Drosophila melanogaster: one gene and its partner. The protein of the gene in region 2 interacts with the protein of the main gene of each other region in a pairwise test. Each region holds a gene or a part of one and is shown on either strand. Other genes may lie near its edges.

Region 1 (17,145 bases), about 13 Mb from region 2:
CACAATATTTTTATAACCAAATTGATGGGATGGCAGCGTTAATCAAATGTTTTCGGCAATTGTTTTTTGAAATGTTATTGGGGCTGTGGGTATTTCACAGAGATTTGTGATGTTTCCTTGACCCAGGATATAGTAGGTGGATTTGAGCAAAAGTAATGAAGGCAGCTTATCAAATAAAAGCCACTTTGAGGAATTAGATTACATGTTACAAGTACCTAAAAAATGTACCTAAAAGCGTGTGGAAAATGTTCGTCCTGAATATACTTCAGCATTTTGTTTATTAAAAATATGCACAGAGACATTATTCTGAGAATTGAACGTTGTGGGCGACTTTTCAGAAGTGTTTGACGGGCAAATTCAGACGAAAGAAATCGAAAAGCAGGATTGCCTAACTTAATAAACTTAATCAAGGATAAATTATTCCAAACGAAAGCACGGCAGTTCTCGGTTTTCAGTTCTTCTTGGACAAGGCGACGAAGAGATCGCGGGCGTATCGGCGGACGACCTTGCCATTGTGGTTCTGGGGAATCTCATCGGCGAACTGGACACCAGCTCGCAGCTGCTTCTGGATGTCGGGCAGTCGCTTGGCCACGTGGTCAATCACCTGCTGTGCGGTCAGAGTGGCATTATCCTCCCGCACAACCAGGGCACCAGGCACATCTCCCTGGGTCTCGTCGTACACCCCGATCACGCACACCCGCTTCACCTCCGGCAGCTCGTCGATGACCGCCTCCACCTCGGCAGGCCACATCTGCAGACCCTTCCACTTGAGCACCTCCTTTTTGCGGTCCGTCATGTAGAGGTAGTCGTCCTCGTCGAAGTAGCCCATGTCGCCCGTGTGGAACCAGCCCTCCTCGTCCTGCATCGCCTTGGTGGCCTCCGGATCGGCAAAGTATCCGTTCCAGCTAAATCCATTGTGCACAATGATCTCGCCGGTCTGGTTCACACCCAGTTGGTTGCCATCGTCGTCCACGATCTTCACCTGAATTCCGGGCAATGGGTTGCCCGCAGCGGTGAGTTTCAAGTGTCCGTGGTTGAACACTATGAATCCAACCTCAGTCATGCCGTAGGACGAGTTCAGCACTCCATTAGGAGCAAGCTTCTTGACCCTCTCAACCGTGGCCTGAGTCATCCGTCCGCCTCCGAAATTCAGCTTCGTCAGGCTGCCCAACTTCTCCGGAGTGGCTGTGGGGCAATCCAGCAAGGAACAGCAGTGCTCCGGCGGAATCAGTGCATATGTGATGCTGTACTTGCTCACTAAGTACACAAAGTAGTCCGCGGCGAAGGGCTTACTGCTGATGATCCTGGTGCAACCGTTAACCGTGCTGAAGATGGTGGCCCACAGCCCAGTAATCCAGTCCAAACTGGCCGAAATGAAGATGGTATCGTAACCATTTACAAAGCTGTAAAATGAGTTCGAAAAATTATGTAATTTTAAAATTCATTTGATTATATCTACAATAAATTGAGGTTCAAATATACTTTAACTTACACTGTCTCTTGGGTCAGAATATCGTTCGAGATGCACACAGCCTTGGGCATTCCAGTAGTTCCGGATGAGGTGAGGATCGCAACGGTTTGCGAAGGTCCTTCCTTCAGCGGTGTGGGCCTAACATAGATGGTTTACAATTTAGATAACACCTGGTCCCTTTGGAGCTTTGCAATATGGCACACTCACTGATAGAAGAACTCTGTCTTTGTTGGAGCCAACAGATCCTGAATGCTAAGGACACCATCCTTAGTTCCGGTGGTTAGGATAATCTCTGGCTTGAACGCGCTGGTAGCCGAGTACAGTTTGTCGTAGTGATCGGCATCGGTGAAGATAATCTTCGGCTTGGAAATGTTGTACAGGTGCTTAAGAGTAGCTGAAAATGTAGAAGAACATATAAAATATTTTATTAAAGGATGTACCTTGATAACATTATTTTTTTTATATTATGACAAAAAGACAATAACGTTGTAGGGGATTTTACGTACATTCCTCGAGAATTGGATTGGCCGACTGGAAGGGAGTGCCATGGAAGAAACAGGCCACGGCTGTGGGCATAATGTAGGTGGTGTTCCTGGCAGAGATACCAATGATATCCTTGTGGTCGAGACCGCGACTCTTCAGTTGCTGGGCAATGCGAATAGCCCAAGTGAGAGCCTGTCCGAAGGTGACCTCCACGCCCTCGGAGTCGGAAATCTGATGATACATAGGGATGACACAGAACATCAGGAAAGTGATCAGAGCAGGTCGGACTCCACTTCACTCACCTGACACACATTCTTGGGCCAGTTCCTCATGTTCTTGAAGATGATGCGACCCAGGGAGGTCTCCGGCTTGAAGGGGTTGTTTTGCGGAATACCCTTCCAGATCTTGTTCTCCGCATCGTAGCTGCAAGGTAACTTGGACATTTTTACTGCAATAAAGGTTGAATGCACACCCGAAAGATCGACCACTATCTGTGGAGCTATTCGCTCGGAGGGGCTACTTATAAAGACACGAATCCCCAAGAGCTTATCTGCAGATGATAAGCATGGCCTAGGTTAAGTGCAAGGTAGGTATCAATGAAAGATAAAAGGCATTGACCAAAGTTGACCACCCGACTGGCATGTATGCATATATTTATTGAAACTAATCAGATGGCGTGCGTTGGGTTCTTTAATTGAAGGGTGTCCTTAGTCGTGATAAGAGCTATTAACTTTTGGCCACTTGCCGGTCAATGAGAACAGCCCCATCCCTAATTGCCAGAGGGTTTTATCTTCGTTCCGGGTTGTGTTTTCCCCCTTATCGGCGATACTTACGTAATGATACGACAGAAAACAAATCATTGTCATTAGATGCTATTTATTTTTAAACACAAGCCCTTCAGTCTCTGCTTTATGTAGATATAAATATTAATGGAAATCAATGCTAAAAATCCCCGTAGTTTTTTTTTTTTTTTGGGGCAACTGAAATTTGGTTAATAACCTTTGGACTTTAATCTGGGAATACCTTACGACTTTTAAATGCGTGATACCGGAGACTGAATGGAAAGTTTGATTTTTTTCCCACATTTTAATTAGTCACCAATGGATTATCGATATGGACACGAGCTCTTAATATGTTTACCTTCGGATTACTTCGAGATATATTTAGCCGGCCTTTTGATATGAATACAACATGATACCCTATTCAACGAAGCCACGATAATTCGGGAAATTCCGCCAAATGAAATACAATCCATTCAGTGAAATTGAATGGGTTTTCTTTCAGCCAGCTCTCAATGGTTTTTCTTACATTTTTGTCCTTTATTTTGACGTTTTTCCGCGCTGCGGCTGACAAAAAGTTGGTGCAGCGAAAACGTTATTTAAATACCTTGGCGAAAAAGTTCGCTTGCAAGATATTTGCAAACATCTGTTTCCTGATTTTCCAGCAATGGCAGCCGGCAGAGAAAATCAACTTTCCGTTCCCGGTGGCACGTGAACTAAAACCCAATTCTGTGGCAAGGCTGCCGATGATGAAGTTCGTTCGCAGATAAAGTTCCGGTTACAGGAGACTTATGGTTGCTCTAAGGGTTTTACCTTGGTAAATAAAATAATCCTGGGTACTCCTCATTTTACATTTTATTAAGCACTTAATTTTATTTAAATGATAAAAAATTTATAACTTCCCAACGCTTAGTAACAATTCCTTCGCATCGGATCATTAAAGCTGATTTTCAACAACTATATAGCTTTCCATTTCATTCGAGTATAAGTATGTTTACGATAGTGTTGTGCCTGGAACTAAGTCCACGACGCTCGCAGTGTGGGCTTAGTTGTAATGGCTTAATGGGATTTTGATAAGGTTCCTCTGGTGGTTTATGTACCCGACATCACAGACATTGCACTCTGGTTGGCTTTGATTTGTGGTAATCTTATCGGGCTATGAACTGAAGTGGGGAATTAATTTTTCCGAGCAGAAACTATCATCCCGGCCGCAAATTACGTGAAACGGAGGAAATCGAATTTGATAATCGGAACGGGCTTATCTTAGGGTATTCCGTATCCGTATACACCCTTCTGCCGGAAGAATTTCCTCTGGCTGTCCATGAATGGAACTACATACTTTTGTCGCTGCTGCTCTTGTTCGATTTCGGGATCCGCGTACTTTAAGGGCCAGCCAGTTGAAAGATGTTCGCGGTCCCAGTTAGTTGGGTATTCTTATAGCGGCTAACTGGCTAACAGACTAAGGTAGTTGTTTGGGTTTCCCGCCCAGTGGTTCGGCTTTTCTTTATTTTCTTTTCGTGAGTTGCTGGCTGTGCAACTTATTCGCATTCTGTTGCAGGAACTGCTTTTTGCTCCTGCAGCTCCACCTCTTGCAGTTCAGTGTGTTATTATGCACTGGTTTTTCCTGGTTTTTCACTCACTTTTCTTTCATTTCATGTTTATACCCGTTACTGGTATACGAGTAACGTAGAGAAAAAGGATATACTATATTCGTTGCAAAGTATGTAACAGGCAGAAGTATATATAAAGTACATATATTATTGATCAGGATCAGTAGTCCAGTAGATCTGACTATGTCCGTCACTCACTCTTACGCCCACAAACCGCCCAAAGCTGCCACGTCCACACTTTTAAACAATTTTTAAATTTTTTCTAATTTTATACACTAATATTCCCAGAAAAATTATGAAATTTCGCGATCGCATTTTCACTAGCTGAGTAACGGGTATCTGATAGTTGGGGAAGTCGACTATAGCATTCTCTCTTATTTTTATTTATACCACTTTTTTTAAATCTTTTTTGTGTCGCTTCTTTTGACCCGTTTCCTTTGGCCACTTTCCCTTCGGCTGCCGCACACAAGTTTTTCATTTGTAATTCAAGATGTCAGTCAGCTGGGAGAACCAAAACTTAATTAAAGTTCCGCACTTCTACAGAGCCAATTCCTTACTTATCCCGACTGTCTCTCTCGCTTTTCCGTATGTATTTAGCCATTCCCAGAAAGTCCGCCCATTTCGTTTAAATTCAAAGTGTCTGTCCAGCTCGCCAGGTAAGGTGGTTTATCTTTCAGGTGCAAGTTTCGCCTGCCGCACCTGCAGCAAATGTCCGGACCTGCGACTTTGTTAGCCTCGCCTGCGGATACGGGTCTCCCTCCCCCTTTTCCAGCTCCTTTGCTGCAAATGCGTTTTCCCGAGCATGTGTGAGCGTAATTTTATGAGCTTATTTCATACTTTTCACTTCTAATTTGGCTCCGCGCTAGTTGCCATGTGCAGATTTCGACTTGTTGAGTTCTCCTTGTCGTGGTGCTTTCATTTTCATTGCATGATATCGGTTTCACTTACGGCTCACCATATAGAACATCTAATTTAATTAGCTGACACCAACGGGTGTTCCGACTTATTCTCTTGCTCGCTCTCCATTTTCCAACATCTGTTGTGGGGGGAAAAGTGGGAGAGCCGAAGGAAAAGCTGCAGGAAAAGTAGAATGTCTCATTATGTATGCATTGAGTTTCCAGTGTCCGTTGGCAGCGACAGAAAAACTTTTTGATAACTGTAATTAGCATATGAAGAAAATCAGACTCGGATAGTTTTCTTTGGAACTCAGGCAGGTGGAAAGCTGTTAAATGTATTCCAGTCCAATTAGGAATCCGCCTGCTGAACTGGCGTAGTAATTAAAGCAGTAAAGTTAAATCAGCATGGTAAGTTTTTCGTTTTAAAGTTATCCAATGTAATTTGATAAACACAAATGCTATTTAATTTAATAAAATGATTTATCAATGATAAAAGTAACCAAATTTGTAATGTAATGCTTACATTTTGGTCTATTGAAAGATAATTATAAATATATGATTATTATATAATCAAAACCAGATATATGATATATGTATATACCGGCCATAGGAACAGTCGGATAAGTTATTCATATGCATAGTTTATTCGGTAAGCTTTATTAAATATGTTCAATATACTTATATTACAACTTTAAACAAGTCTATGCAAATAATAAAAATCAGATATTATACATAAGAAAGTGCGATGGAGATTAAATGGCATATCTGTGCTGATTAACTTTTTTTTAGGTTGCCCATAGTCTCCAATTAAATTACTTCCCTAGACCCATAATCAATTCTACCGTTCCTTGGTTTATCTCCCTCATTCAATCTTCCTGTTCTTCCCTTTCTGCATACATTAGCGCTTTCAATCGCCTTCTGGGCCATTTCTTTCCGATTGAAATCCGCCAAAATCTCTCTTGGCCTAGGCTATCACCACCATCAATTCGCGTTGCATCTATAAATAGCATCTTGTTGCACTGTCCGTATCCGTGGGATTCGCGAGTGAGCCGTGGGATTACCGACGTATTGCCTTCCATTGGCCGCAGACCAGAAATGCGAGAGGTGGCCAATGTCAATGCCATGGCCATGGGCGCATATGGCCAAATGCAAATGCGAAACCGAAACAGAAACAGAATCGAAATCGCAATCGGAAGCAAAGAGCCAAAAAGCGATGGAGGAGAAGCACTACAAAATAATCCAACGGTCGCCGCAAGAGAAACACTTCCCATTTCTTCCGGCCGCAAAGAGAGGTGCCCGGGCGGTGATTAAATCAGTTAAGAGCCATTGGCCATTGCAGCCAGGTCTCCTCTACCCGGAGCCAAATCCCCCTGGTCATCGCAATCAACCCATTCCCCTCTCCCATTGCCGCCCAAATTCATTGGCGCCTTTCCCTTCCGCCTTTGGCTGTTGCGCATTTTGTGTTTTGCTCTCAACGTTCATTTTGGCCTTCTTTTTCTGGCCAAATGATTTAATTTCATGTATTTCGCTGTGCGGCAATGGCGATGCTTATTAGTTGCAATTTGCCAGCTCTGGCATAAGTTTACTCTAGCCAAAGCCAACAGCAAGCACCGCAAACTAAACCAAATAAATAAAATAATTGCCTTCCCAAGAAGTTGATAGAATGGGCAAAAATAAGGGTGGTGGCGGCGGCGGTGGAGGAGGAGGTGGCGGTGGTGGAGGCGGGGGCAATGTAAGCAATATTTGTGTTATGCAACTTGCGTTCTAATTGTGAGTCTAACTACTTGTAATCCTCATCTTAGTGCCAGCTCATTCAGCTCATGGTCCCACCAAACTTCCAAGTAGCAATTTAACAATATTTAACTTTATCCCTACTTTCCAACAATTTTAAAATAATTCGTTGACCAACTTTCTAAACATAAATTTATAAAAGCATTGCCAAATTAAAAAAAAAAACTTTAGTGCACTAGAACTATTAACTTTGAGATTAAGCCTTGCATACAGTTTTTTAGGAAGGTGTTTCGTGCTACCTGTATTAATACGTTATTGTAGACCACAAATAATGGTTAGATTACATTTTATCATGCGGATAATAGCTGCTGCTGTATGTAATTAGAGAACTCCTGGTGCTTTGGAACAAGGGTCCCCCCATTGCAATCCTGGCACAACTAACCTTTTTCTCATTTACTGACTTCGCTGGGCAACCTTAAACAACCGTGGCTCGTTATTTGCTCGGTCCCAGCTCAAAGCGAAATCTTTCCGTGTTTCTTTGCCCACAGAAAAAGGGCGGCGGTGGTGGCGGAGGCGGCGGCGGAGGTGGCTCCGGAAATAAAAACAAAGGCGGCGATGGAGGCGGCGGTGACAAAGGTGGAGCCAAGAAAGGACAAGACCAAAAGGCAGCCGCAGGCGGTGGCAAGAAGGGAGGCAAGAAATAGCAACCGTGGCAACATCAAAGCGCATTAAAAATTACAAATTTAGAGTTAAGTTGAAATTAAAAGTGATATCAGGGTGTATATACGAGTATCTCTATAATGTATGTGACTTTCTTACAATTTACTGGGCGCTGCCCGCCTCTTCTACTACAAGTACGTTCGGATATATTTATGTAGGTTAAGCTTAACAATAGAAGAGCATCCCATCCGCATTCCGCTCGAATGCACTTCACAGGCCACTTGATTTGAATCCTCTAGCGAAACCACTCCTGGGACATCCCAAAGAAGGAAGCTGCGCTCGATTTGGATTTGCTGCTGTCTCCCTTGCGGGCTCCATTGCCACCCGACTTCCTCGTCGGCGTCGTTGTCGCCGTCTGAGATAGAGGGATAAAATGGGAGATGTTATTAATTAATTAGTACTATTAATTGGTAGTTTGTCTGATTAATCTGTTAATTTGCCGCTGGACTCTCAGATTTATAGCGAGCAGCGAACAGCAACAAATGGAAAGCAAACATAATTAGAGAACGATTTATACCGGCGGAGATCGCAGCTAATTACAAAACATGCGAGTAACGGCCAAGTAGCCACTGCCATAAATTAACATTTGCCCAGCGATTTGATTTCAATAATTGCAGCGATTCATTAATTACCATCTAAGGCACTCGTATACGCGCCCGTAATATATACATAATCATTCTGCCGATGTTCTGGCCATCCACTTGGAAATTTCGGGTTGGGTTTCAAGCGAAACTTTTGCCAACCACTTGCGGACGAAGTAGGGAGGAGTGGTTGGGAAATGGCGGCAGAAAGTTGCACCTAATTAAAATTTGTCTTGCGGCATTCTGGTTTATTTATTGCTGGATGGACCAAATTAGTTTAATTAAACTGCTGCTTCAGCTTGAAGAGGTTTTCAAATTTGGAAATGAAGCACTTAATAAGAGCAATGCGGCTATTTTGCTCACTCTTAATAAGTATTGGCTAAACAATCAATATCATGCAGCATGCAAACGAGGAATGATAACAAAGTATCAACAATCAAATAACATTCCTACCCAACCAGAGCAAATGTTGAAACTATTGACTTAGGAATGCAGTCGATAGAAATCCTAGGAAAGAAACATGGGAACGTAGCATTATAACTTGATAAAGTTGGTAAAAGATAAACTTTATATCTATTAGGGCTGTCGGTTTAATGCTTCAGCTAATCAATTTAGAATTTTAAATACACCACCAAATAGTAAAGCTTATACTCTTGAAGCCAACACCGACAGCCCTCTATATCATCACACTTTATACTCACTTTCTCAACTGGCTCTTGGATCGGAGATTTCCGCTCTGCGCTAGTAACTCTTCCGGCAGCTTGGGGCATCACAATGGGCAGCAGCGGGAACCACAGCGACGTGGATCCGGAAGAACTGAGACACAGCACATTGGGATCTGCTTCATGGGCCAAAGAACTGGCAGCAGCTGCACCCTGACTGGGAGCAGCTGCCGAGGGAGTAAGCACTCCCAGTTCACCCTGCAGACGGCTTGCAGCTCGGGACACATGAGCGGTTATATGCTCGGCAAACAGCTCGAAGTCAAAGGGATCTATGTAGTCGCGCAGTTGGTTCTGCTGGGCGTGGATTTGGTCGTAGAGAGTCCTCTCCTCACGTGAAATGGCGAACACGCGCTCCAGGAACTTAAGATCAAAGTATAGTTGCAGGGCAATATTCTGACTGGCTTTGGTGCATTCCGCGTGGGCCAATCCCTCGTAGTGGCAGAGCAGTTTCCCTATGAGCCGCTGAATGAATGCTTGCAATACCTTGGGTGGCAGAGTTTGGGGAACAACCGAATTCAATGCCTGAATTAGCTGATGAAGATACGTCTGCAGAGAGAGTCGCGGCTGACTGGGGATTCGAATGGTTGACTGAACACTCTGCTCCTGGTCCTCGTCGCGCTGTTCCAGTGTCAAGGTCTGCCAAAGCTACTCAAGAATATAATTATGTTACGTTACAAATAAATTTCTTCTTTCCATATAATTACCGCAAAGTCGCTGAGAACCACTTCATGATTAATGACCTTTGGCAGTTTCTCTTCGCAATTGTGGCCGGCCAACACATCGTCAACGATGACCAGCCAAAAGGATAGCATCTCCTTTTCGATCAGGCCACAAATGCGCTGCCAATGCTCAATTCCCAATCCCGCCGAGTTGTCAGTCCACTGCCGCCAACTGGACGGCTGGCAGAAGCACAACTTTAAATTGGGGCACAGCTCGACCAAGGCGAGACTATTCCTCAAAGCCAGGAGCAGAGCAGGGCGTTCCCTTAGCTCTAAACCTTTCAAATTGGATAAATACTCTGTCAGCTGTTCCTCGGCCGTTTCGCGCAGAAACTCGATAAGTGAAACCTTGTCCTCAGCCCTCGTCGTTTGTTCTTGTAACATCACATTCAGCTCCTGTACGATATCCGCCAGATGTGAGTCAAAACGTTTACACAGTTCTATTGTTGCGCCGTCATAGCCCTTCGTCCGATTTGCCAGTCGCTTTGGTTGATCGCTGAGTGCTGCCGCCAAGCTTAAAGGCAAATCATCGCTCTGCTCCCGCCAAATTTGTAGAGGCGGTTGCGACTGACCGGCTTCAATAAGCAATAGTACCTGTTCGTAGGTCAGCTTCATGGCGGAAGCCCAGCTGCTGCGAATTATCTCTCGTACTCTGGCGTTGATCAACGGCACGTACTTTCTGGCGTAGAAGTCTAACTGGCTACGCTTAAGATGCAATTGCTGTTCTAGGCGAACGAAATCCGGTCGACCATTAGTTCTGGCCGCGGACTTAATGTCCTGGATGGTCTGCATGTTGGTGACTAGTGCAAAGACTTGCTGCAAGTGAGCCGCTGCCAAGGCGTTCATTTTATCTAGCCATTGTTGAAGTGAAGAACCCAACTGCTCAGGTGTTAGCTGAGGTACATCAAATTGTGGCTTAAAACCAGCGATGATTTCGGGTAAAAGATGAACCAGCTGGCGCTCGCTACTCTCCATTCGGTTGATGCTGGGTGGACACGTAGAAGAGGCACACTCCTCCAAGCGGCTAAAAAGAAGGCTATAACCTGTACGAGAGAAAAGACCGATTGTTCCAATAATAATGTTGTGTGCCTATCTGCGAATGGAAACATACCCAAAAGACACTTGTCCAGAAGCTCCACGGTGCTGTTGAGCACGTTTAAGCTAGCCAAAATGCGATCCTTGACGCGACGTGGCTCCGATGGACCGCTTTGCAGGCAGTTCAGAAAGGCTGAGGAGCGCAGGTTCAAGAAGGATTTCAGCACAGTACTCAAATCGCTTTTGTCTAGCAAGAGAAGGCTCTGCAGGCAGTCCACAGTCATTTCTTGTAGGAGTTCCTCCCTCTCCAGTGCGGTCAGTATGGCTTGTTTGATGGTCACGTGAAAGGGACGCAGGATTTCCCATTGCTTGCGCGCTACCGGTAGTTTCTGCATCAGGGCACTCTGGCCGTCCAGTTGCAAGCCCGTGCTGATGTGGCGACTGAAGATGAACAACTCAGTAGCGGCATAGAAGCGATCGTTGTCCAAGTGCGTCCAGATTAGTTCCGGCAGGGCAGTAAGCAACTTAATCTGAGCCATGGTGCCGTAGTAGGTCTGCAGCTTTTTTCCGGCGTTCCTCTCCTTCAGTGCGGCATCTTTAGCACTTGCATTGGCAGTTGACTGGAAGCCCAGGAGCTGCTGCTCGTTTAGACTGCGGCAATTGGCCTGCACGTGTCGCACTTGCTCCATAAGTGTCCCGGCCGACGTTTGCATCGCAGCAATGGTGTCAGCCGCCTGCAAAAGATCTCGGTACCGCTCCCTTAAAGATTTAGAATGTTTAAGCAGCAAATCTTCTGAAGGTGCCACATCACTCACCCGACATGAGTGCGCAACTCCTCGCGCTTGTTCTCCACCACCGACTGGATCTTTTTGTGCACCTCGTCTATCTCGGACACGCTGTGCTGCTCAAACAGCGTGTCCACGTTCAGGTTTAACAAATTGGCCGTCATTTAGCCGTCAAATTAGTTTTATTTAAATTAAGAAAACAATAACAAGGGAGCAGCTGTAATAAAATCGAATTATGTATCGATGACTGGCAACATCGATATTTTCTCTCATGACTGTCTATGACTGTTAAATTTATGTTAGTTTACATTTCTCTGTTGGTAAAAATGTTAGATATGCTGTCATGTGCAAGCCGTTACATTTCAATATAACATAAAGAGTTATAGTTAGGGGAATTACCTCATTTAATCGAAAAAAGATATTTTTCTAAATCCAGGTTTCATTTGTTTAAATATACTTTATTAAATGCATTTGTCTGGCATAGATAAACTAATTTACATACACAACAAGTGTAAAAGCAAGAATTCTGATTGGTTTGGCAGCAGTAATAAAGAAAAACCAACAATGGCTTTCACTCCTTTCCCAATTCCCGCAGCACTGCGTTGGCGATCACAATTCTTTGGATCTCCGAGGTTCCCTCGTAAATCTCTGTGACGCGGGCGTTGCGGTAGTAAAGCTCCGCAGGCAGATCGGTGGTGTACCCCATCCCACCCAGGATCTGGATGCACTGGTGGGCACAAAAGGTGGCGGACTCGGAGGCATGCAGCTTGGCCATGGCCGCCTCCTTTGTGATTGGCAGCCCATTATCCTTCAGCCAAGCGGCACGCCACGTTAGCAGCCTTGAGATCTCCACCCGCGTGGCCATGTCGGCCAGCTTCTGCTGGATGAGCTGCAACCGTGCCAGATGCTTTCCGAAGGCCACCCTCTTCTGCGAATAATCCACGGCTAGTTCCAGGGCAGCTTGTGCGATACCGGTGGCCTGGGCGGCTATACCGATCCTGCCACAGTCCAAGGACTGCATGGCGATCTTGAAGCCATCACCGGCAGCTCCAAGGACCCGGGATCGCGGCACGTGAACGTCCTCCAGCACCAGCTGGCAAGTCGAAGTCGCGCGCATGCCCATTTTGCTTTCCTTCTTGGCTATGGAGAGTCCTGGAACATCCTTGGGCGTAAGAAAGGCAGTGATTCCCTTGTGTTTCATGCTCTTGTCCACCGTGGCAAAGACGATACCCCCGCTGGCCTCCTTGGAGTTTGATATCCACGCTTTAGTGCCGTTTATTTGGTAGCTGTCCCCTTGCAGCTTGGCCGTGGTGCTGGCAGCTCCTGCATCCGATCCGTTTCCAGGTTCCGATAGTGCATAGAAGGCGATGTGCTCACCCTGGGTGTACGGCACCAGGAAATCCTGCTTCTGCTGCTCGGTTCCATGCTGCTGCACTGCACCCAGGTACAGGTTATTCACGCCCATCACAATGGACACGGCGGCGTCACCACGAGCCACCTCCTCCATGCCAATCGCGTAGGCCTGGTAATCCAATCCGGAACCACCTGAAAAATCAATATTTAATGAATGGAATCTAGTAGTATGATCTATTTATATACCATTTCAAAAATGAAAACATCACATATTTTATGTTATGTAAATATTGTAAATATTATAATTGAAATAGGAACTCACCATACTCCTCTCGAACCGTCACTGACATGAGACCGAGTTCTCCCAACCGTCGGACCTGTTCCGCCGGATAAAGCTCCTCCCGGTCGTGGTGTCGCGCTTTGGGGGCCAGTTCCGCATTGGCGAACTCCCGGCAAGTCTTCTGGAGAATCTGGTGGGTCTCGGAGAGGGCGGCCAGGCATGCGATTCCCCGGTTTCCACCAGCGATTATCCTCGCACTCCATGCGCCGCTCGAGCGTTGACCTGCAAAGACGGAGGCGGCAAATCGATCATCCAGTCAGCCGGGAATCACCCAGTTCCTCACCCAACGTCCGCGCCACTCTGATCAGCTGCTGCATTCCGTCGCCAACTGATCCCAAGCCCGTGGTGCCGGTTGCGATCGAGGTAGTGAAAGCTTTTTCGCACTCGTCGACGAGCCGATCGAAATACAACCGAGGAAAACAGCTTTTATACGCAGCTTTTTGAGGCGAAGTTCATGGGAGGAGATTGAAAGGGGGTCCCGTTTATTAAAAACTACTAATCGATTTTGTAAAATGGTTCTTTTAAATTGATTTTAATTGAGTATAAGAATTACTAAAATCATTTTAGTTGTTTCAAATTTGTAATTTATAATCGGTTTTTAACAAATTTTAAAGTTTCATTTAAAAATGGTATTGATAAGCGCCGAAGTCACCACTGCGCCACTGTGTTCGTATAAAGTGTTTCAACTATATAGTACTACCTAAAATGATCGAAAGTATTTTGTTTTGGCGCTAACTTTGTGAAATTACCAAGTTTCTGGGTTAAAGATCATTTGAAAGAACAGAAAGGGAAAGCGGTTCAATGGATTTCGATAAAGAAGAATCCACCAAGAACCCTGTTGATTTCCTATACCGGCTGAATACGAAATTAGGCAATGCTAATTTCCGATACACACCCACTTTCATTGAAAGGTACAAGGTGCATTTTACCCACATGAAACACAAGTACACATTACAATTTTTCAACTTACATATTACAAAGTTAGTGGACTTTGGGAATTTTCAGGAACACGTGTGAGACAGTTTTTTGAAACATTTAAGCTCATGGATCAAATTGAGAATATATAACCCATTATTGTTTTTCACCATTTAAACATTTAAACCAGCTTTTTGCTAGCGCCATCTAGGTTAAGTAAACAGAACTGAGCACCTTACATCAGCAAGGTATTTCGCAGTCAGTCCGTGTAAAAATCATTGTAGAGCGCTGTAAATTATTATTTTCATTTGCTCTTAACGTAGTAGACCGGTTAAAAGGGATTTCAAAACTGAACCATTTCCGAATTATTATCTTCTTCTCAGCTAAACTGTTCAAAATTATAGAATTTTGCTTTATACTTTTGAAAAACGAAGATGAATTACTTGATCCAGCGTGGCAAGATGCGCCAGCAGGCGATTAATGTTCCAGAGGGTCTGCCGGAACTTCTATCAGATGTTACACGGGAGGTGCTAAGGTGTCAGCCGAAGAAAGAGTGCCTCTGCCAGTTCATCATCGACTATCTACATTCGGTGATCGTGACAAGGGAAAAGGCTATGGGTAAGTACTCCCACAGGATGTAGAAAGTATCAAACTTTTCTTTACGCACGCCTGTATTTTCTTACAGTGGCCAAGACCATTTTGGATCGCTCTCTGCGCCAGGTGGACAGCATAATATCGGACCTCTGTGTCTGTGATCTCTCCAAGGAGAAGTCCGAGTTGATGGGCCAGGTTCTAGAGGACTGTTTCCGTAACTTCCTCGAGAAACGACGCTGCGAGATGCGGCGTGGCAAGCAGGCGATTAAGTTCGAGGATGTGGACATCCTAGAGGAGCTGCTGCAGAAGTGCAAGTTTACCGACGAGGAGCTGGTCATGTCACGGCCGGCCATCGAGAGTGCCTACAAGCGCTTCGTGGACGCCTATATGTCCGCCGAACGTGGAGCCGATGGAACGGAGCTACTCTACCAGTACTTCCGGGACAGGGAACTGAAGCGTATCAACGAGGCCATGCGCAACCAGGCAGCCATCACGATCCAGGCGGCTTGGCGAGGATACTGGGTTCGCCTCCAGTTCCCGCAAGAAGTTTGCGTTTGTGTCTGCGCAGCGGTAAGTGAATCTACTTCTAAAAGTCTGCCCCTAAACTTGGTTATGACTTAAATCCAACAGGAAAAAGAGGACGACGGGGAGGAAAAGCGCAGGGAACAGGCAGCGAGCGTTCTTCAGAGATTCTTCCGCAAGGTTATGTTGGTATGTAACAAGAGTTAAAAACTATTTTACATTATATATATTTATATTTTAAACTGTTTTTCTTAATTTTTTACGCCAAATTTGCAGCGCGTGGTTACCAAGCCAATCGTAGACCCCTGTGCCGAACCAACGGAACCAACTGAAGTGGATGCTAGCTCTTCACCGGATACAGCAAAGGATGGCTATGACGACGTAAATCTCTCGACAGTACCGACAACTGCTGCGATAACAGCCGGACCAACACCATTACCAACTGCTCCCGGAACTGTGCCGCCATCTGCCCCAGGCACTGCTCCGGCCACGGCCAGAACTTCGGCCACTGCTATAGCAGAGCCAGAAGCTCATGAAGAGGCTGCGGAAGCTCAGCCAGCGGAGGAAGCTCCTGCAGCAGAGGCGCCTGCTGATGAAGCAGCACCAGCTCCGGCTGAGGAGGCTGCCCCACCGCCAGCAGAAGAGGCTGCACCGGAAGCCGCCGAAGAGCCGGCACCTCCACCACCACCAGAAGAAGCAGCGGCACCGCCACCGCCCGCTGAGGAGCCCGCTCCGACAGAGGGAGCAGCTCCTCCCGCTGAAGAAGCTCCCGCAGAAGAAGCTCCCGCAGCTGAGTAGATGAAACCATGCTGTGTTTATTAATTTTCCCTTAGTTGTTAAATTGATGTTATCTGCAAGTGAATAAACTGATCGAAAAGTGCTGGAATCCTCTTCTCCTTCAGGATTTTGTTTGATTTCCTATCCAGTCACTGAAGGTAGACACTCTGGTGTAGACATCCGGAGAGATGTATAGACCACACACCACCAGCCCGTAGGATACTATGCCCACTTGCTGTAATCCATTTTTGGATTCCATTACCAAAGGACCGCCAGAGTCGCCCTGGAAACAAGATCAATCTATGATCTAGCTAGTGTATTATCATCCAACTCACCGAACAGGCTCCCCTAAAAGGTCCTCTGGCGCAGATCTCCGTATCCGTAACGCTCTCCATGCCCGCATTCCTGCACTCACTGTTCGAGATGGTGTGGTAACTCATGCGCTGAAGAACATTGGGATAGTTCACATTATCCAAGAAGGGAAAGGGCACTGGTAAGCGGAGGCCCCATCCCGTCAAGGTTACTGGAACTCCTCCACCAACGAAGTCTTTCCCCTGCGATCGATACTCAATTGCACTAATGGTCGAGTTATTTAACTTCAGCGGAGGTTTGATGGACAGCACGGCAAGATCGCTGGTAACCAGTTCCTGATACTTGGGATGGATGCTGTAGGATAGCACCTGGGAGCGGGAACCCTTCTCGTTCAGTCCTCGAATTCCGGCCACAACAGACATGCGACTGGCGTTGAGACCCTGACAACAGTGAGCTGCAGTAAGGATGCGATTGGGAGCGATGATGGATCCACCGCAGAAGTGCATCTGACCACCGCGTGTTCTGTACTGCAGCGAAACCTGGTAGGGCACATGTTCGCCTGGTGGGATGTCAGCGCCTCCAACAATACGATGTGGAGTATACCCACTGGGTTGACGAGCTTTAACAATATACACGTCTGTTACCAGGGGATTCTGAGTTACTGATTCCAATTCAAACTCACAATTCAGTCTCCCGAAGACTCCTCCCAAAGCTACAACTCCGATCAGCAGTAGTTGTTCAGTTAGACCCATCGTTGTTTGGCTAATGCCACTGGCTTTGCACCTGCCACACTTCTTAAA
Region 2 (16,154 bases):
TTGAGTAATTGTGCAGCAATGAGCATGGGCTGCCAGCAGATTTTCCCGTTGATAAAGTGCAGCTCTTGGAAAACCTTTGGCAGCGTACCGCTCATAATAAGAAATTGCATAGGTACATATAAATGTATTTACACACATATAATTTCGCATTGGCTGCCTGAGATTGGGATGGGGACTCCGACTCATATTCGGATTCGGGGATTGCACGTGGCAGCGACAGCCGCAAATGGAGACGGAGACGCAGCTGTGCAATTTACAGTTTTATGGATGCGACGGCGCTTGCGAAATCAAAGCTCAGCGGCGCTCGCTGGGATTGGATTGGAATGGGTCAGTCAGGCAGTCGGATAGTGGTCAGTGAGCGGACTGCCTGGCTAATTTGACGCATTGCCGTGATGCGGCACATTTGAAAATATGCAAGAGAAACGCAAAAAGTCTCCATAAAAACGAATGACTTAGGCAACGAACTTGCTTTTAATCTGTTGTAAGAGATCTTTTCTAACTAGAACTTTTGTTAATAGGCATAGCATTATAAAGAGTTATTTATGTGTCGGGTTTTATAGATATCTGACAAGTCATATAATTTAATTATTTTTTCCGTCTCGAATGTATTGTATTAAGACATGCGTGAACTGGTTTAATTCTAATTTGTAGTCATTCTCAGAACAAAATTGACTAGATCTTACCCAATTAATATAAAATTAATTAAGGTGCTGCATCATTCTGAATTTAAAGCAAGAATTGCTATATATTAATTAATTGCTATAAATATTATGTGGTGTTGAAAACCTAAATATAATTTAAGAATTTAGTTTGCGATCTACATATGTTAGGCATATAGGCAAACAGGTTTAATATCTGCGCCTATTGACAGTCAATAGATTCAAGCATTCTAAATTGCATTTACTGGCACTCGTAAACCGACTTAAGCTGCCATAAGCAAACCCAAAACACGGGGATCGCGCATTCGAAATTTGCATAAAATGTGCATTAGTCGCCCGCCTCCGCCGATCCAGCGACCTCGCCACCATCATCATTATCACCATGGTACCATAGTGCCATGGAGGCATGGAGGCATGGAACTGTGGAGCCACCACACTGCAACTGCCAACCGAGATCTCATACTATGCCATCCCAGGCATTGGATCGGCCACACCAAGGCGCAACTTGTGCCGAAATCTGCACGACGAAACGTGAGAAAATGTTATAACCAATGCAGTTGCTATGCCGTGTACATAGAGGCAAAATGGGAAAATAAATAATAAAAAATAAAAAAATATTTGCTAAATTATGGGAATGAATGGGACGAGCGGTGGCGTCGGCGGGCGGTAAAGAATTCGGATCTCCAACTTGCAGATGCTGCGGTCTCTGTGACTAATTGCATGCCCATACAAATGCACTTTTCGTAATGCCGGAATATGTGTGAATTATTATGCAGTCGAATCTTCATTGTAATCATGTTAATGAGCTTTCCGCCGTTCAGTCTTCATTGTTCGTGATTATTCTGGCCAGAGATTCTGAGCCAAATGCCAAATGGCCAATGCTATGGCTAGCTTACTGACCAGGATGTTGAGCTTGCGCTTTGCCAAGACAACTTTTATTTTATGTTAATTCAATTAGACGGCGGCTTTTGTCACCATGCAGCCGCAGCAGCAACATTACATTTTTCCAAAAACTCTGCCCATCGATGGGTCTTCTTCGTTTTGCCAGCAAATATTTTTGCACAAAAACGTTTTTGAGGAGCGCCACTTGTTGATCGTTTGTTTGCCAAAAACACGACAACAACGCCAAGGCACAAAAGCAACATCAGCCCGCAACAGCAGCAACTTTTAGCGACACAACAGCAAGTACACTCGAGAAAAAACTTTGAGCTCATGCAACTACATTACGTTCCATTTGAACCAAACTACAACTGATAAAGATATTTTACGATACATGTAATTTATATATTTTTTAAAAGTAGTAACTTCAAACTTTAGAAAAAGCAGCCCTTCAAGCAGATAGCAGATTCTTTCAGTGTACGAAAGAGCTAGACGCTCGTTGTTGATTTATGCGTTTTGCAGCATTTAAATTGGCATTTATGTCAAACTGCGGTAAGGGTAAGTAATATTTTGTACGAGTATAATACATTTCGCTTTATTTGTTTTATAAGCCAGCGTCCTTGGGGTTTGTCGGCATCGACACTTTTCCAGCTTGGAAACTCTTTCCCATGGCTGCCACTCGCATCAGATTGTGATGATGATGATGATGATAGTTTTGATGCTGTAGCCGGGTATAACTTTTTATATATTAGCTTAACGTTCGCTTCCACTTTATTGAGCCGAAACAAATTGGTTAATTGTTCCACAATCACTTGCATGTTTGGCAATGCCTGACTGGTCTGCTGTAAATTATTCATTATTCCTCTCCAGTGGAGTATTGAACTTTGATCGCATAGCATTTCTGGTCAGAATCAGTTGCAACCATAACTTGCCACTCACAAAACGCCGCAGATCCTCAATACCAGATCTTGAGTCAGCGTATGCAGACAGAATGCCAGTGGCCTTGGGGCAAGCTGAGAATGTTGCTGATGCAGCAGCGGCAGCAGCAGCAGCAGCAGCAGCATCAGTGCAGCAGCAACATCTGTGCAGCATCCACTTCCACTTTGACGATGTCTGAATCTTTCGAAAGCTGCCAAATCCGTTCGGCTTTCAATGGCTGTTATAGTTTCAGTGCGAGTCTCCATTTGTCTTTTTTTTTGCCATTTTATGTGAAAAATCACATCACCGCTCATCAGCCAAACGAGAATTGCCCAATAAACCAGCAATGAAAATGTGTTGGCGTAATTAATTAAACAAATTATGTACATTGCGCAGACGCATTGACGTTTTTGGTGCAGGCGATTTTTATTAATTTCACTTAGCGGTGGGAATGCACCAGAGCTATAAAAAGTGCATCAGCGACAACGAGCAGTGCACTTTTGGTCAAACAGTGATTACAATTGCGGCCGTAAACGTTTGGCAATGTGGCTTTTACGTTCGCCAGCCATATAGGCAACTTATGGGCACACAGGCACACCTGGTGTGCCTCCAAATCTTGCCACCACTGCTCCTCCGAACCCAGTACTTTGTGCCATTTTCGGGCCAAGAAATTCTTCAACTGCAACTGCAACTGCAGCTGCCTGCTTGCCTCCCTTGTCATTCATTGTTTGTGGAAAACGCGGCTCAATCAATTATTAATTATACGCCTTGTTGTACCCGAGTGCCAGAGTGCCGGAGTCCATCCATTGTCTGCAACATCTTTATATCGGACAAATCTCCTCTGCCCATTTTCCACTTTAAGCTGCCTGGGTGTTTGGCAACACTTAACAACCGCATCAAAATTAGTTTCGTTATTGTGTTAGCCTTCGGCTGGCCAACTCCAAATCTTCAACTCAACTCGAAAATCGAGTCCGTTTCAATTGATTTCTTACGTGCGTGCGGTTTGCCGTGACTAAGTGCGTGTGGGAAAAGACGATACACGATCGCCGGAGCAATTCGGTGGCCCGGAAATGCAGATGGCCCTTGCGGCCAGCAATTACCAATAGGCTGCAAATAGGCGTCATCCCGAATCAGCGAAGACTCCGATTTGGGTAGATCCACCATATGCCGCCGACGCCATGGCACAAAAACCATGACACAAAGCCACTTGGCTGGCTGGCTGGCTGGTTGGCGGCATTTGGCGATCGCTAAAAGTCACATTGTTGACCTTTTTGCGGTCTTGGGGCCGCGTGGAGAAAAGGTTTCTGTCTCTTCTGAAGTCCCTGTCGCTCTGCGCGGCTCATTAAAATAATATTTAACCTTTGGGAAGACAAATACTTGTCGAATATGTTGGTATGCCGAGAGATCTCTTTTGTCGAGAGCCAACGAGCCGTGAGCAATTAAAAATTAACTGTTTACTTTTAATGCGCAAAGTTTGACGCCGACCCCGGCCCCGCCCCCTTTTTTTTAGGGTCTTCCGCCCTCAGCCCCTCCATCTGCTTTTTGGGGGCCCATTGCCAATTGAATTCCATGTTTAACGAGTTTTGACAGCCGCATTTTTGTAGCTTTTTCGTTTGCCTTCATCTGCGCATTTGCAATGGCATGCAATTGCGATGGCTTTGTCTAGTTTAAAAAGATATACCTCACATTCAAGAATACCCACAAATTCCAAATATTTGTGAGAAACTGTTAAAAAAAATTCCAACTCTACATACTTTCAAATTAACAATAAATTTAAGGAGGTAAACAGAAAAACCATTAAATTCTACCTATTGATCACTAACTAATGAAAATGATGAGCTAATAGAATAAGCATTCCTTTAAGCAAGTAATTATAATCGGTAAGTGATATTTTGAAATCAGTCGGAAACAAGACTTATTGGCAATATATGACTCACCCACCGACTGCGTGTCTGGCTGGCCTCCTGCCACGTCTGACATTCATCCGGCAGCGATCTCGCCGCTGAACCTGACCTATACGCGCCGTTCACACGCTGAGCGGACCGTGCTGGTCCGCCAGCAGCCAAGGCATCAAAATACAGCACTCCCAACGTTGAAAACTTTGGGAAAGATTAGTGGCACGTGGACTTGTTTTCAAAGCATTCAACTCTCTATGACAGATCAAAATTTTTGAGTTTTAAATCCATTTCCACCAGGTTTCTTTAAGATCTCATAGACCAAAATGTTGGCACGAATAATTTCTACCTACTTGTTATGCGCGGCAGTCTACAGTTTGAATATGCTGGAATACTATAGAACTGGCAAATCTAATCGACCGCGAGGCCCTGACGATGACATGTTCTACGTAAAACCGAAGTGAACCAATAAATCGCACCAGTAACAGCTTATAAAGAAAATATTGTTTTAATGAGGGATGATACTATTTGGTTATGGTTCGTTTACGACTGCTTCTCCTTCCGTCTGGCCTGCAGCACACCACGCAGCATGTTGAAGGAACTCAGTACAGGCACCATGATGGGCAAGAAGAGTGGAATGTAGATGGCGTACTTCTGCTCGTCCGGGAAGTACAACTGCGCCAGCAGGCTGGCGTCAAAGAATCCGCGCTCCGAGGCCACGAACGCACGCTTGGCCAGCACCGAAGCGTCCGCCAGTCGGTGCTCCAAAAGAGCAGCCTTGGCAGCCAAGATGTCGGCATAGGAATTTGTAATGGCGGCACCCACCTCGTCGTCTATCACAATGTAGCTGATTTGATCTAAACGAGAGGAGGAAGCGATTATTAAATAATATTGTCCAATTAAGGTGGTTATTAAACTTCTCAAGCAGTACAGATTCAATAAAAATAGCGTCAACCATTTTAAAAGCTACTTAATTATAAAGCGGAAATTGCAAATAGTTCATTTTTAATTGTCGAAGAGCCCTGAGTTTTGTATAATATCAGAAATAGGAATAATAAAAATGTTGACTAAACATCCTTCATTGGTATCTTTAAAAACGTACCCAACAGTTTGATGAGGCTCTGGAGCGTGCTGCTTGCTGTGGATATGTGTCGAATGGCACTGCGTCTTAGGTATGCTTCATACTCCCAGCGACGTGGCTCCAGTTGCTCGATATCCACCACCTTAACGCCCTCCATCTGAAGCTCACTGCTGATGTCGAGCAGCTTGTGCAGCTGGTCCAGCATCACCTGCATGTTGTCCGTGGTGCTGACATGGTAGGGAACTGCCTCCTGATCGCTCATGGCCGCAAGGCACACATGCTCTGGCGGATTAGCAATGATGAAGCCACCCCAGGGTGGCGAAATGAAGGCATCCACGTCGTTCCGCGTCAGCCGCTGATCCTTGCTGTTGTAGATGTGAAGCGGAGCGATGTGGCACGGTGGAATGTACACCACCAGGTTGATGGCCGGCTTGTCGGTGGTGCTGGCGCTTAGATTCTGGGCAATCGATGTCAGCAGATGAGGCAGAGCGGTTTCCTGGAGGGCGTAGTGTCGCCCCAATTTGCTCTGGTCGCGCACCTGCTTGAGATCAGCCTCGATGGCCACCCGGTACTTCCACTGCGATCGCACCGTGTAATTGGAAACACCGGACACCTTAGCCAACCAGGGCTCAATGTAAGCTATTGAAAATGTAAATTGGCATAAGTAAGTGAAGACTTTTTGTGGTTTTTCAATACTTACTCTTCACAGCCATTGCTATGTTCCACTTGGCATGGGTGAGTCTCGGTTTCGGATTCAGGACAGAGACAATCACATCGTAGGCTGGTTGCGGAGCTTCCGACTTGGCGCCCATCCGCTCATCGGTACTTAAAATTTGATTTATGCGATACGTCTGCAGGATCTTGGCGTGCAGGAGCTGGGCGATTTTGTTGGAAGCTAGGAGGTGTTAAAACAGCATTATTAGTTTAGCTAACTAATCTTTAATTTACTAGAGTAATTTTAGCTTAGTCCTTGAAATTTTAAGGAAAGGGTTTCATTGGGCATTAAAAGTATTCGAAAGCATTCGTAATCCTCGATAGTATAGTGGTTAGTATCCCCGCCTGTCACGCGGGAGACCGGGGTTCAATTCCCCGTCGGGGAGACCGATAAAATATATATTTCTTTTTAAAACCGCATTATCATGTAAATAATAAATTATGCGCTATACTTCTACTTTTAGAATTATTTCAATAATAGAAGGTGAAGTAACAGACAATAAAAGATTTGAAAAAAAAAAAAAAATGAAAATCTCATTTCTCCCAGACGGGGAATTGAACCCCGGTCTCCCGCGTGACAGGCGGGGATACTAACCACTATACTATCGAGGACCTTAAAAACTTCGGACATAAAAAGCCAACAAGTGTTTCCGTATCATTGCAATAGACTCACGTGTATCACTTCGCATCAGTGCCGATCTTTCGGTGGTTAGTAGCAGCTCCTCCTGCAGTTTGGGCCACTCGATGAACATGAAGTCGCCAACGCTCTGGACATGGTTCTCCAGCAACAGCTTCTCCAGAGCAGCTGGCGTGTGTGCTTCCTGGGTCATTGGCGTAGGAGATAGCTGCTTGAATTCCACAGACCATATTTCTAATGGGAAATGCATGCCGTTTAGAAATATGAATGGATAATGAATTTGCACCTACCATTGTCGCTGAAGGCGTTCTGCAGTTCGGCGATGAGCAACTGGCCACGACTGGTCTGTTGTGTGTAGATGGCCACCTGCACAGCCGTTTTGATCGGAATTTTACTCAGACTCAAAATTTCCGTCGAGGGCAAATTGACTCTGCGATTGCAACATTTAGGTATAATTGGAAAAACGCCGCCAGACATGGTTGACTCACCTGTAGACTGTGGTGGTGCGCCACCACATGGGCACGCCAATTCCAATGATGACCACGATAAATGCTAGTGTAGCCCCGATCCGGAACTTATCTGTAAAGTTAAAGAGAAGTGTTTGATTAGTTCCTGATTTATCGCGGTCGTAAGCGTTCTTTGGGTTCACACTTTATTACTTCGACAAAAAACTATAATATTTTGATTTGTGTTTTATAAAGTTTATTATGTAAATTAGTTTCTGTACAGGAGAACGGTATGAATGTTAATAGTCCTTGACGAGTAATTGTGCGCATGTTGTGAAACAGGATCACATGCTACTCCTTGTAGCTGCACGAAATAACAAAAACAGGTCCCTTTTCAAGGGGCGTGTTGCGCGACACGTATTTGGTGAACTTGGTGGTGCCCTCGCACCGGTATACTATGTTCAGGGCGTTGTCCACCGGCGTGATAGTAAGCAGAACGGAATCGTCCTCTTCCTCGTCATCGTAGTCCGATCGCCTTCCGTCCGTCGGTGCTTTTGCTGTTGGCATTTCGGCGTCGGGTGCGAGGTATGTGATCACCGCTGCTCCTTCTGCCGCGTTCAGGTAGTAAACCAGGTCCAAAGTGTTCTCCTCGCTGGTCAAACCGTCGCCCAGCACTGTGTAGTTGCCGTGGGACCAGCGCTGCAGTTCCACGCTGCATGTTGGACTTTCGGCATCGGTGCCTGCCAAATCCAGATCGGTGAAATCTCGCAGCAAATCAAACATGGCGTGGCTACGGAACAGTTGCAGTAGTTCCAGTATGGTGCCTCTGGCTGTTGTCAAATCCAGCACTTCATAGTTGTGTGCGTTTGCGGGTCCCTGTCTTCGCCACTTCAAGGTATCCGAATCGGCCAACAGCTGCGACCGGGCCAATTCGAATTTCTCTCGCTTGAAGAACTCGTATAAACAAATCTCGGAGTTTTCTTCGATCCGCTTTTGGATGCTCCGGCGGGTGGCCCCCTTTAGATACACGTTGTTTAGAAACAGGCCAAGCGGTGGCCTATTAAGGCCATCAGGTTGCAGGTAATTCAGGCGGGGAAAGGCGCGCAGGGAGTCGGCCACGAAGGCCTCATTGGTATCGCCGTGGAACCATCCGTTTATGGTAAGACGCGGGTAGTCGAATGTAGTAACCTCGCCTACTTGGTGGAAGGAGCGCGAGCCCACCTTGAAGAAGGCAAACTGGTTGTCTTTGGGGGCGATCTTTCGCTGCACTGGAAACTGTGGAAAGCACTGATCGTCGCTACCGAAGATCTCTAGGCATCCGCCCTGCTCATCCGTCCATTCCTCCGCTCCTTCCCAAGGCGATAGATAGTAAATGAAGGCCACTTGTCGGTCCTTAAGCAGATCGTCGTGCACGAGCAGATAGTCGCCGCAGGTGTACATGCTGCAGGAGGCGGACACATAGTCCAGCTTGAGGTTGGTAACCTTCTCCAGCCAGGGACGCACTTGTTTGCGCAGCACCTGCAGGAAGTTGGTCAACAGTCGGCAAGCGGGCATGTTGGAGAGGTCGGCGCTCTGGTAGAACTCATACAAATCCATCTGTTTGCGCGACCACTGCACCTTCTGGATGATCTCGGCGACCAGCGCCTGGCTTTGGCCCTTCTCCAGCATGCCGGGCAGAAGGCAGATTTGAAAGGGATCCGAGAAGACCTGAGCACCGGTTTGCGTCTCCTTGGTCCCTTGGCTCTTCTCCTCCGTCCAGGCTGTTTGGAGCCACTTGGTAAGTTCCGGTTGCTGATACGCCTCGTTCAGGAGCACTTCGTTCGTTTCAAGGATGTCGCCCAGGCGCAAAAGCTTCCTGTGCGGCTCGCCCACCTGATCTGCGGAATCCTCCTGCTCTGCACGACCATCTGCAAGGGCAACATAGTGAATGGGTTTGCATTAAGCGAGGCAAACAGGGGCATACCTTAAACTTTAATTTGGCTATTTTTTACGCACACCAGCACTCACACACGCGTTATCAAAGGCAAAGGCAAAATCAAAGGCACCGATGTGCCGGCACACCTCGCTTTATCGTTTTGGGGCAGATTTCTCACTGTTTCCACTTACCTTCGTCCTTGTCTTTTCTCCTGGGCTTTACTGGACTGGAGCTCGAGGTTTCCATGATGCTGTGAGTCAAATTTTCGGTTAAAAACGTGAATTTTTGCCAGGGAAAATAAAAAAATTGGCTTGTGCAGCTAGAGATGGTAGCTCGGAAATATCGGTTGTTCTGTGCAAGTGTTGGGTAGTTAGCTTATTCCACGCAGTATCAAATACCTAGCTAAAGTTTAGTAGCTAAAAACTTTTGGCATTATATTGTAAACAATAAAGGGCGTATATAAGTAATAATATATAATATAATAATATATTGAAGGCATTCAGCATTAGCATTCAACTCACTAATCACACTTTCATTTTATACTGATCATCACTGATTGTACGTGAGTGTCGTGTGTTTCGTCGTCGCCTCACGCCTCCATCCCTAGCCAATTAGTAACGAACAATTGCTCGATCGGCTCCACGTAAATAAAGTTTAGATCACAGCTTTGTTGATTGCTTATCGCGGTGGCAAATATAGTTATTCGTTTATGGCTGTAAACTTTCGAAACGGACGTGGACATAGCCGGTAAATTAAAACTTGAAGATAAAACCTAGCTGGTGACAAAGAAATTCCAATTGGAGCAGTCCAATGCCGTGGAATGACCTTGGAAGAGGCGGAGCCACCATTCAGCCCTCCATATTATAAACAAAAATACTATTGTGGAATGTTCACAGCTATTTTGTATAAAAAAAATATTTGGCTATCAGTCTGTGCGTGCTAGGGCCAAACAGCTGATTCCGCCTGGCTGCCACCTGATTTGTTGGGGGTGTGAGTGGGGCTGGGGCTGTGGTATTCTGTATGCTCGCGATGATCTCATTGTGTTGGAATCGGAGCAAAAGCTAAACTAAACAACTTGACATGTGTTCTTCTGCTCCTGTGTAGCTACCTAGTGTTGGAGGATACGGAGGAGCAATGGGCAAGGATCAGCATTTGCTGGAGGCTTCGCGAGCCGGCGACATCAAGACGGTGGACAAACTGCTGGAGCACTCGAGCAAACGACATGGCCCGCTGTCCAGGTGAGTCACCAGCAGCAACTGTTGTTATTCCAGGTAGTTTACTACAGGTTTTCCTTTACAGTTTTAGGCGAAGTCCCAGCATCAACTGCCAGGACATGAATGGCTACACTTCGCTGCATCACGCCTGTCTAAATGGGCATAGCAACATTGTACGGCTACTACTCTCCCACAACGCGCTGTTGGATGTGCCTGATATACGTGGCTCGACACCTTTATTTCTGGCTGCCTGGGCTGGGCACCAGGACATCGTCAAGATGCTGTTGATGCACTCGCCTACGGGAGCCAATCCGAATGCCCAGACTATCGAAAACGAGACGCCGCTGCACTCAGGCGCCCAACATGGCCACAATGCCGTGGTGGCCATTTTGCTGTCCTATGGCGCCGATCCTGCCATACGCAACAATAGCTTTCAAACGGCTCTGGATTTGGCAGCGCAATTCGGACGCCTTCAGGTGGTTCAGACCTTGCTCCGTGTTTATCCCGACCTCATATTGCCGTATAAGCGTTTGGAAGATGACAATGAAGAGCTGCTGGGCTGCATGCCCATAAAGCACATATTCACGCACACCTGCCTGCACCTGGCCAGCAGGAATGGGCACAAGAAGGTGGTGGAAACACTGCTGGCGGCCGGCGTCGATGTCAACATACTCACCAACGCTGGAAGCGCTCTCCACGAGGCGGCTCTCTGTGGCAAAAAGTCCGTTGTGGTCACTCTGCTTAAGGCCGGTATCTACGTACACGCCACCGATGGAAACGGACGCACAGCCCTGGACATACTCTCCGATTATCCGCCGCATGTGACCTACGACATTGTGGGCGCCATAAACGGTGCGTACGAGTAAGAAGTAGAAGAAATACAATAAAGGGGCTATGGGTAGTGGCTGGAAATGCTTATCTTTACTGATATCTAAAGTTAATACAGCTCTTCATAAAGCTTTGTAATTCAAAACATTTATTTACTCTATTTGTAATAAATGTTACACCCTATTTATTGAAGGCAACCAAATAAGATCGAAATTATTTTATTGCTAATATAAAGCTGTAAATATATTCTTGAAGTTATGTGAGTAAGCGCAGACAGTAAATAATTGATAACGATTTCAACAGGCTTTATTATTTGAATCTTTAATAGTGCCTCCAAACCACTAACGCCCACGATCTTTTGCAGAGTTCACCCAAGCGGCGAGGGAACATCAGAAGCCACTTGTCGTAGAGAACGGCACACAATCGCTGCCGAAGCGGCTGTACGAGAAGAACTCGCAACGACAGAAGGTGCCGCCCAGGCAGAGGAAGTAAGCCCAGCAACTCCATGCACAGTGACACTGAAACACACACCCACATCACTGCTGACCCTAATTAACTTAGCCCGCAGCTCATGTCATTCGGAAAACGCACTCATCCCCGCTCGCACTCGCACCCACTCTCATGTCCACGCCCACTAGCCCTAGCACTCATCAGAATCAGAATCAGCTTCAGAATCGGTTGTGCGTCTCTTCAATTAACTGGTCTGGTTTCGTTTGGTTTCTTTTCAATAACCACATACTCACCCCTCACCATGTAGAAAGCAAGATCATCAAGCCAACGGACTTTCGCACTCTTTAAGCTCACTGGACATTTTTGCCAAGCCGCCGGAGAATTACCTGCAAATGAAACCCATCATTCACCAGAAGTCCTGCGACAACATGAGCGACTTTCGGACGAATGGCAGCAATCTGTTGACCAGCTATAAGCCGGTGTACAAGCAACCCATGCTGCCCAGCTTTCGGATGGACAGCGACATCTCCAATGGATCCGTACCCTCCAGATCGTATGAGTACATAAATCTACTAAGGAACGGGTCCCACAGCGATGATAACTCCGCCAGCACCAGTAGCAACTGTACGTAATGTACCTTTAACTATTTCACTCGAAAGTCACTAGACCTGAATATCCAATGAGTCAGGCAAATAAACATCTGGTTTTGTGTCCATTTACAGCTGCGGTGCGTCAACAAGCGGTGGCTACGTACGTGGAGATGAAGCTGCCAACGCCGCCAGTTCCTAAACCACGCACTCGAATAAACGGCGAATACAACGACTATGCGAATGTGGTGCCAATAGAAGAAGGCAGCTGCGTGGCAGCTGTTGATAATAACAATAATAGCAATGGTAATGGCACGAAATTGCGATTGGTTCGCCATTCGCCCACGCCGGATTATCCACCACCCACAGTGACCGAAGCGGAACGCACGATCTTCAACTTCATGCAGCCGGCTACTTTGCGCAAAAACAGTTTGCTGGAACCGGCGGAATCCCCTCGAACCACTAACTCAGTGAGCTCTGACCAGGTGGAGGAATACGTTGCCGACATACCCTTTGCTGGACTATTCAAAGGATCCACTTTGAACTTGTCCTCGGATGTGGTGGATGGCATTGGTGCTGTGCCGGGAGATAGGGAGTTTCTGCAATCACCCAGCATGGTGAGGTCGGCCCACGTCCAAAACCACAGACGCAGCCTGTCAAAGCAGCGATACTCAGCGCTGGGCGAAGACTTCAGCGCGTCCCGAGTGTGGGCTGAAATCGATACCATTTTTGAGAACATTGGCAACGAAGTGTCCACAGTAGAGCAGGAAGTCGAGGAGTTTGTAGAAGATCCTTCAAGCTTGTCCTTAGAAGATTCTCGGCAGTCCCTACACATACGAGATCCCGCGGAATTGCTATTGGGCAGAAAACCGAGCGCAGCCTCCTCCAATTGGTGCCACTCGCCATACACATTTATCTATGGCGAAATTCGATACTCTCTGTTTGTGAGTATGATTTGCCATAAGTATTTAAATTAAATACTTCAAACCTATAAATGTTTTGCAGTATCTTGGCTCAACGGTCATTCGAAAACTGCAAGGAACCCTTTCCACTCGAAAATCTATCCAGAAACTGAAGATTGATGAGAACTTAAAGTCGGCGGCGAGCGTTAGTGATTTCAGCTTGCTGGAAAACTGCACAACCTCCACAAAGTATTTGAAGGCAGCCAACCATCAGACACGACTCAATGTGGACATTGCTGTATCCTGCGTTGGCGTCAAGTTCATAGACCACGATAAAAAGGTGAGCATATTTCAATTCCTTGATATATATTGTATGTATATTTGTCAACTTGCTTTTAGACTGCCATCTGTTGCCATGACATTGAGAACATAAATTGTGTTTGCCAGGACTCGGAGGACTTGCGCTACTTTGCGTACATAACCAAAGAACAGGACCTGCACTACTGTCACGTCTTTATGGTGGATAGCTTGGTTCGTACTTATGGACTGGTGAATCTCAACATGCTAACGAATTATTAATTCTCAGGAACTGGCCAAGGAAATCATCATGACGCTGGGACAGGCCTTCGAAGTTGCCTACCAGCTAGCTCTGAGCAGACAGGGCACGTCCCTCAACGAAGAGTGCTAATTCTAAGCCATGGAAGTGCCACAATTGCCACCGAGCGTGGTTTTTTATTATTTATTTCATTGCATTTCACACGTAAAGTTATTTTTTTTACTCATTTGCTAGTCGTTGATGCCATCTCGATGCTGGCTTTGCTCCACATAAGGCAGCTCACATGTTAAGTATTTTGAGAGTTTTTTAATAAATTTACAACATTGCTTTTAAAAGCAAAATTTTGAATTTAGGGGTAAAGCGGGATATTTTATCGAATTTTTCGTTTATCGATACCAGTTAGTGGGAAATAAATAGCAGCGCCTGGTAACACTACGAGATCAGCTTCAAAAAAAACGTACAGATTGAATATCATTGGCATTTTATTTTTAAACATAAACTAAAGATCCAGCTAAAAATGGAACTTAATATTGGTAAATAGTTAGTGAACGTCATATGCTTGCTAGTACCTACATTGTTTTCACCTCATTACTGAAGATAATCGCCCAAACGATGTCGGCGTCTTGGCGCCGAACGATCAGGAAAATGAGGACGCCAATCGGAGGATGGAAAATACAGACGCTGTTAAGACTCCAGTGGCCAGGAAAACGCGACGAGCGGTCCTCAAGCGGATGAATGCCACTTCGGAAAAGAATTCGCCCACGCATCCCGATCCTCCGAAGACACCGGGCACTCCAGGCCATCTTAGCCAAAACACCGAAACTCCGAGACGTAGTTGCCGGAAAAGTGTGCGTCCAGCGATCGATTACGATGACATTATAGTGCGATCCGCCAAGAAGGCTATCGTCGAAGCACTTTCAGCCGATCCCGAGGGCGAGGAGCCTTCCGTCCAGAAGTGGACCACCGCGGAGGTGGGAAAAAATTCGCGCAAACGGGGTCGCAAGTCCAAGCGCATGGTCGCCAAGAAGCAGAAAACAGAGCACATAGTTGCAGAGGATGATGAGGAGCAGGACACGGAGTTGGAGGTCCCACAGAAAAAGGTGGATCCTTCTCAGGATGCTGAAGGAAATGCAGAGGTTCAAGCAGACATAGTAGAGGAAGTGGCACTATCCACGAAGAAGTCTTCTAAAAAGTCTAAAACTAAAGATCCAGATCACGCAAATGATATTACGGACATTGTAGTGAATCTGGAGCAACCAATATCGATAAAGAAGTCTTCTAGGGCGTCTAAAAATCCAGACACCAAGGAGCAAAATGTAGCTGATGAACTAGGTTTATGCCCACTGGATATGGACAGCCAGGAAGAAGATGAGAAGGATATTCAAGGTGGAGAAGCAAAAACAAACGCAGAGGTATTTGAAGATGAAGCCCAAACGAGTGCAGCCGATACGGATGGTCAGAAACATGAAGAGAAAGATGAGCAAGCAGATGAAGCAACTAAACCAGCTGCGCTTGATAAAGACAAAGAAGTAACAGCTGAAGATAAACTAAAAGAAGCTAGTGCAGTAGATGAGCAAGCAGAGGAAGAAATGCCCTCACTACTGATGGAAAGTGATGGCCTGGATGAACCAAATCAGTCGCCTCTCAATACCACATACGATGCAGAAGACAAGAAAGATTTTGATGGAAGTGTTATTCTGGTTGTTAGTCCCGACAAGCAGCCAAAGGCTAGCTCCTCCGACCTCGATGCAAGTGTTATTCTGGTCGGCATTACCGATATGCAGCCTGTTGTTTGCGCTCCGAAGCCGGAAATTCCGGAGGAGAAGCCGGTTATTAAAGTTGTGCTCACCACATCAGATGATCAGGACCAAACCCTTTTAGATTTACCCGCTGAAGCTTCGCCAAATGTATCAAAGTCGAAGAAATCGAAGGGCTATCGATTCCCTACGCCCTATAAGGCAAGGCCTATGTTTAACTTTACAGGAACAGAGGAGGCAGTTCATCATGATCACGAAGTTAAAGAAGATGAACCGCATTACACACGCAAACGTTCCAAGTCAGCCAGCAATTGGAAAGATATCATGTCACGAACTGTATCCTTTCAGAGTCCTATTGAGGTTGCCAATGTCGAAGACATTGATAAGCGCTGGGCAGGACTTCAAAAGACCAGTAAGTTCTGTTTAATGGTTATTTTTAGCCCCTTCTAAACGTACAATTCCAGATGTCAATAACCGGCGTAGGCGCTCAAAGTCATTGGACGAAAAACGCTGCAAGATGAGCAGGATCCCCAAGCCCAATAGAGGTATGTATAGAAAACTAAAGCAGTTCTGTTCGTGCTAATATACGTTTTTTTTTCTTCTTAGGTGTTATACCGCTAAACAAAACCATCACACCCAGCAAGGTGAATAAGCGCACCAAGATGCCCAATTTTGCTGCCATGCATGAGAGACAGTTTGCCAAGATGGAGAGTCTG

Evidence for each region.
Region 1: the proteins of PIG-S (region 2) and Cog1 interact in a two-hybrid assay, tested with the Drosophila melanogaster proteins (one large-scale study listed by BioGRID).

The regions. Positions count from the first base shown.
Region 1 is NT_033777.3:12,207,909-12,225,053, forward strand, and holds Cog1 (component of oligomeric golgi complex 1), read right to left. Parts: upstream 11,779-17,145; 5' UTR 11,697-11,778; coding exon 11,563-11,696; intron 11,507-11,562; coding exon 10,824-11,506; intron 10,756-10,823; coding exon 9,698-10,755; intron 9,639-9,697; coding exon 8,973-9,638; intron 8,779-8,972; coding exon of another isoform or gene 8,755-8,778; exon of another isoform or gene 8,725-8,754; intron 8,046-8,724; coding exon 7,926-8,045; 3' UTR 7,675-7,925; coding exon of another isoform or gene 7,519-7,674; 3' UTR 6,972-7,518; coding exon of another isoform or gene 6,903-6,971; 3' UTR 5,884-6,902; downstream 1-5,883. Other genes in the region: CG4830 (uncharacterized protein), read right to left, coding at 452-1,403, 1,493-1,609, 1,679-1,865, 1,978-2,185, 2,257-2,397; CG14742 (uncharacterized protein), read left to right, coding at 6,903-6,971, 7,519-7,674; CG4860 (uncharacterized protein), read right to left, coding at 12,104-13,077, 13,208-13,447, 13,509-13,542; Rsbp15 (radial spoke binding protein 15), read left to right, coding at 14,575-14,758, 14,826-15,304, 15,365-15,445, 15,533-16,054; CG17404 (uncharacterized protein), read right to left, coding at 16,155-16,316, 16,369-16,964, 17,028-17,097. UniProt on the Drosophila melanogaster protein: Required for normal Golgi function.
Region 2 is NT_033777.3:24,908,374-24,924,527, forward strand, and holds PIG-S (phosphatidylinositol glycan anchor biosynthesis class S), read right to left. Parts: upstream 9,492-16,154; 5' UTR 9,391-9,491; coding exon 9,336-9,390; intron 9,137-9,335; coding exon of another isoform or gene 7,581-9,136; exon of another isoform or gene 7,467-7,580; intron 7,363-7,466; coding exon 7,272-7,362; intron 7,214-7,271; coding exon 7,074-7,213; intron 7,018-7,073; coding exon 6,820-7,017; intron 6,759-6,819; exon of another isoform or gene 6,687-6,758; intron 6,533-6,686; exon of another isoform or gene 6,461-6,532; intron 6,328-6,460; coding exon 6,133-6,327; intron 6,072-6,132; coding exon 5,454-6,071; intron 5,313-5,453; exon of another isoform or gene 5,209-5,312; coding exon 4,895-5,208; 3' UTR 4,843-4,894; downstream 1-4,842. Other genes in the region: sud1 (sudestada1), read right to left, coding at 7,581-9,136, 9,336-9,390; CG11168 (uncharacterized protein), read left to right, coding at 10,279-10,382, 10,444-11,210, 11,551-11,674, 11,944-12,260, 12,359-13,167, 13,229-13,465, 13,525-13,656, 13,712-13,813; Mink (mitotic spindle and nuclear protein), read left to right, coding at 14,199-14,214, 14,279-15,850, 15,903-15,983, 16,045-16,154.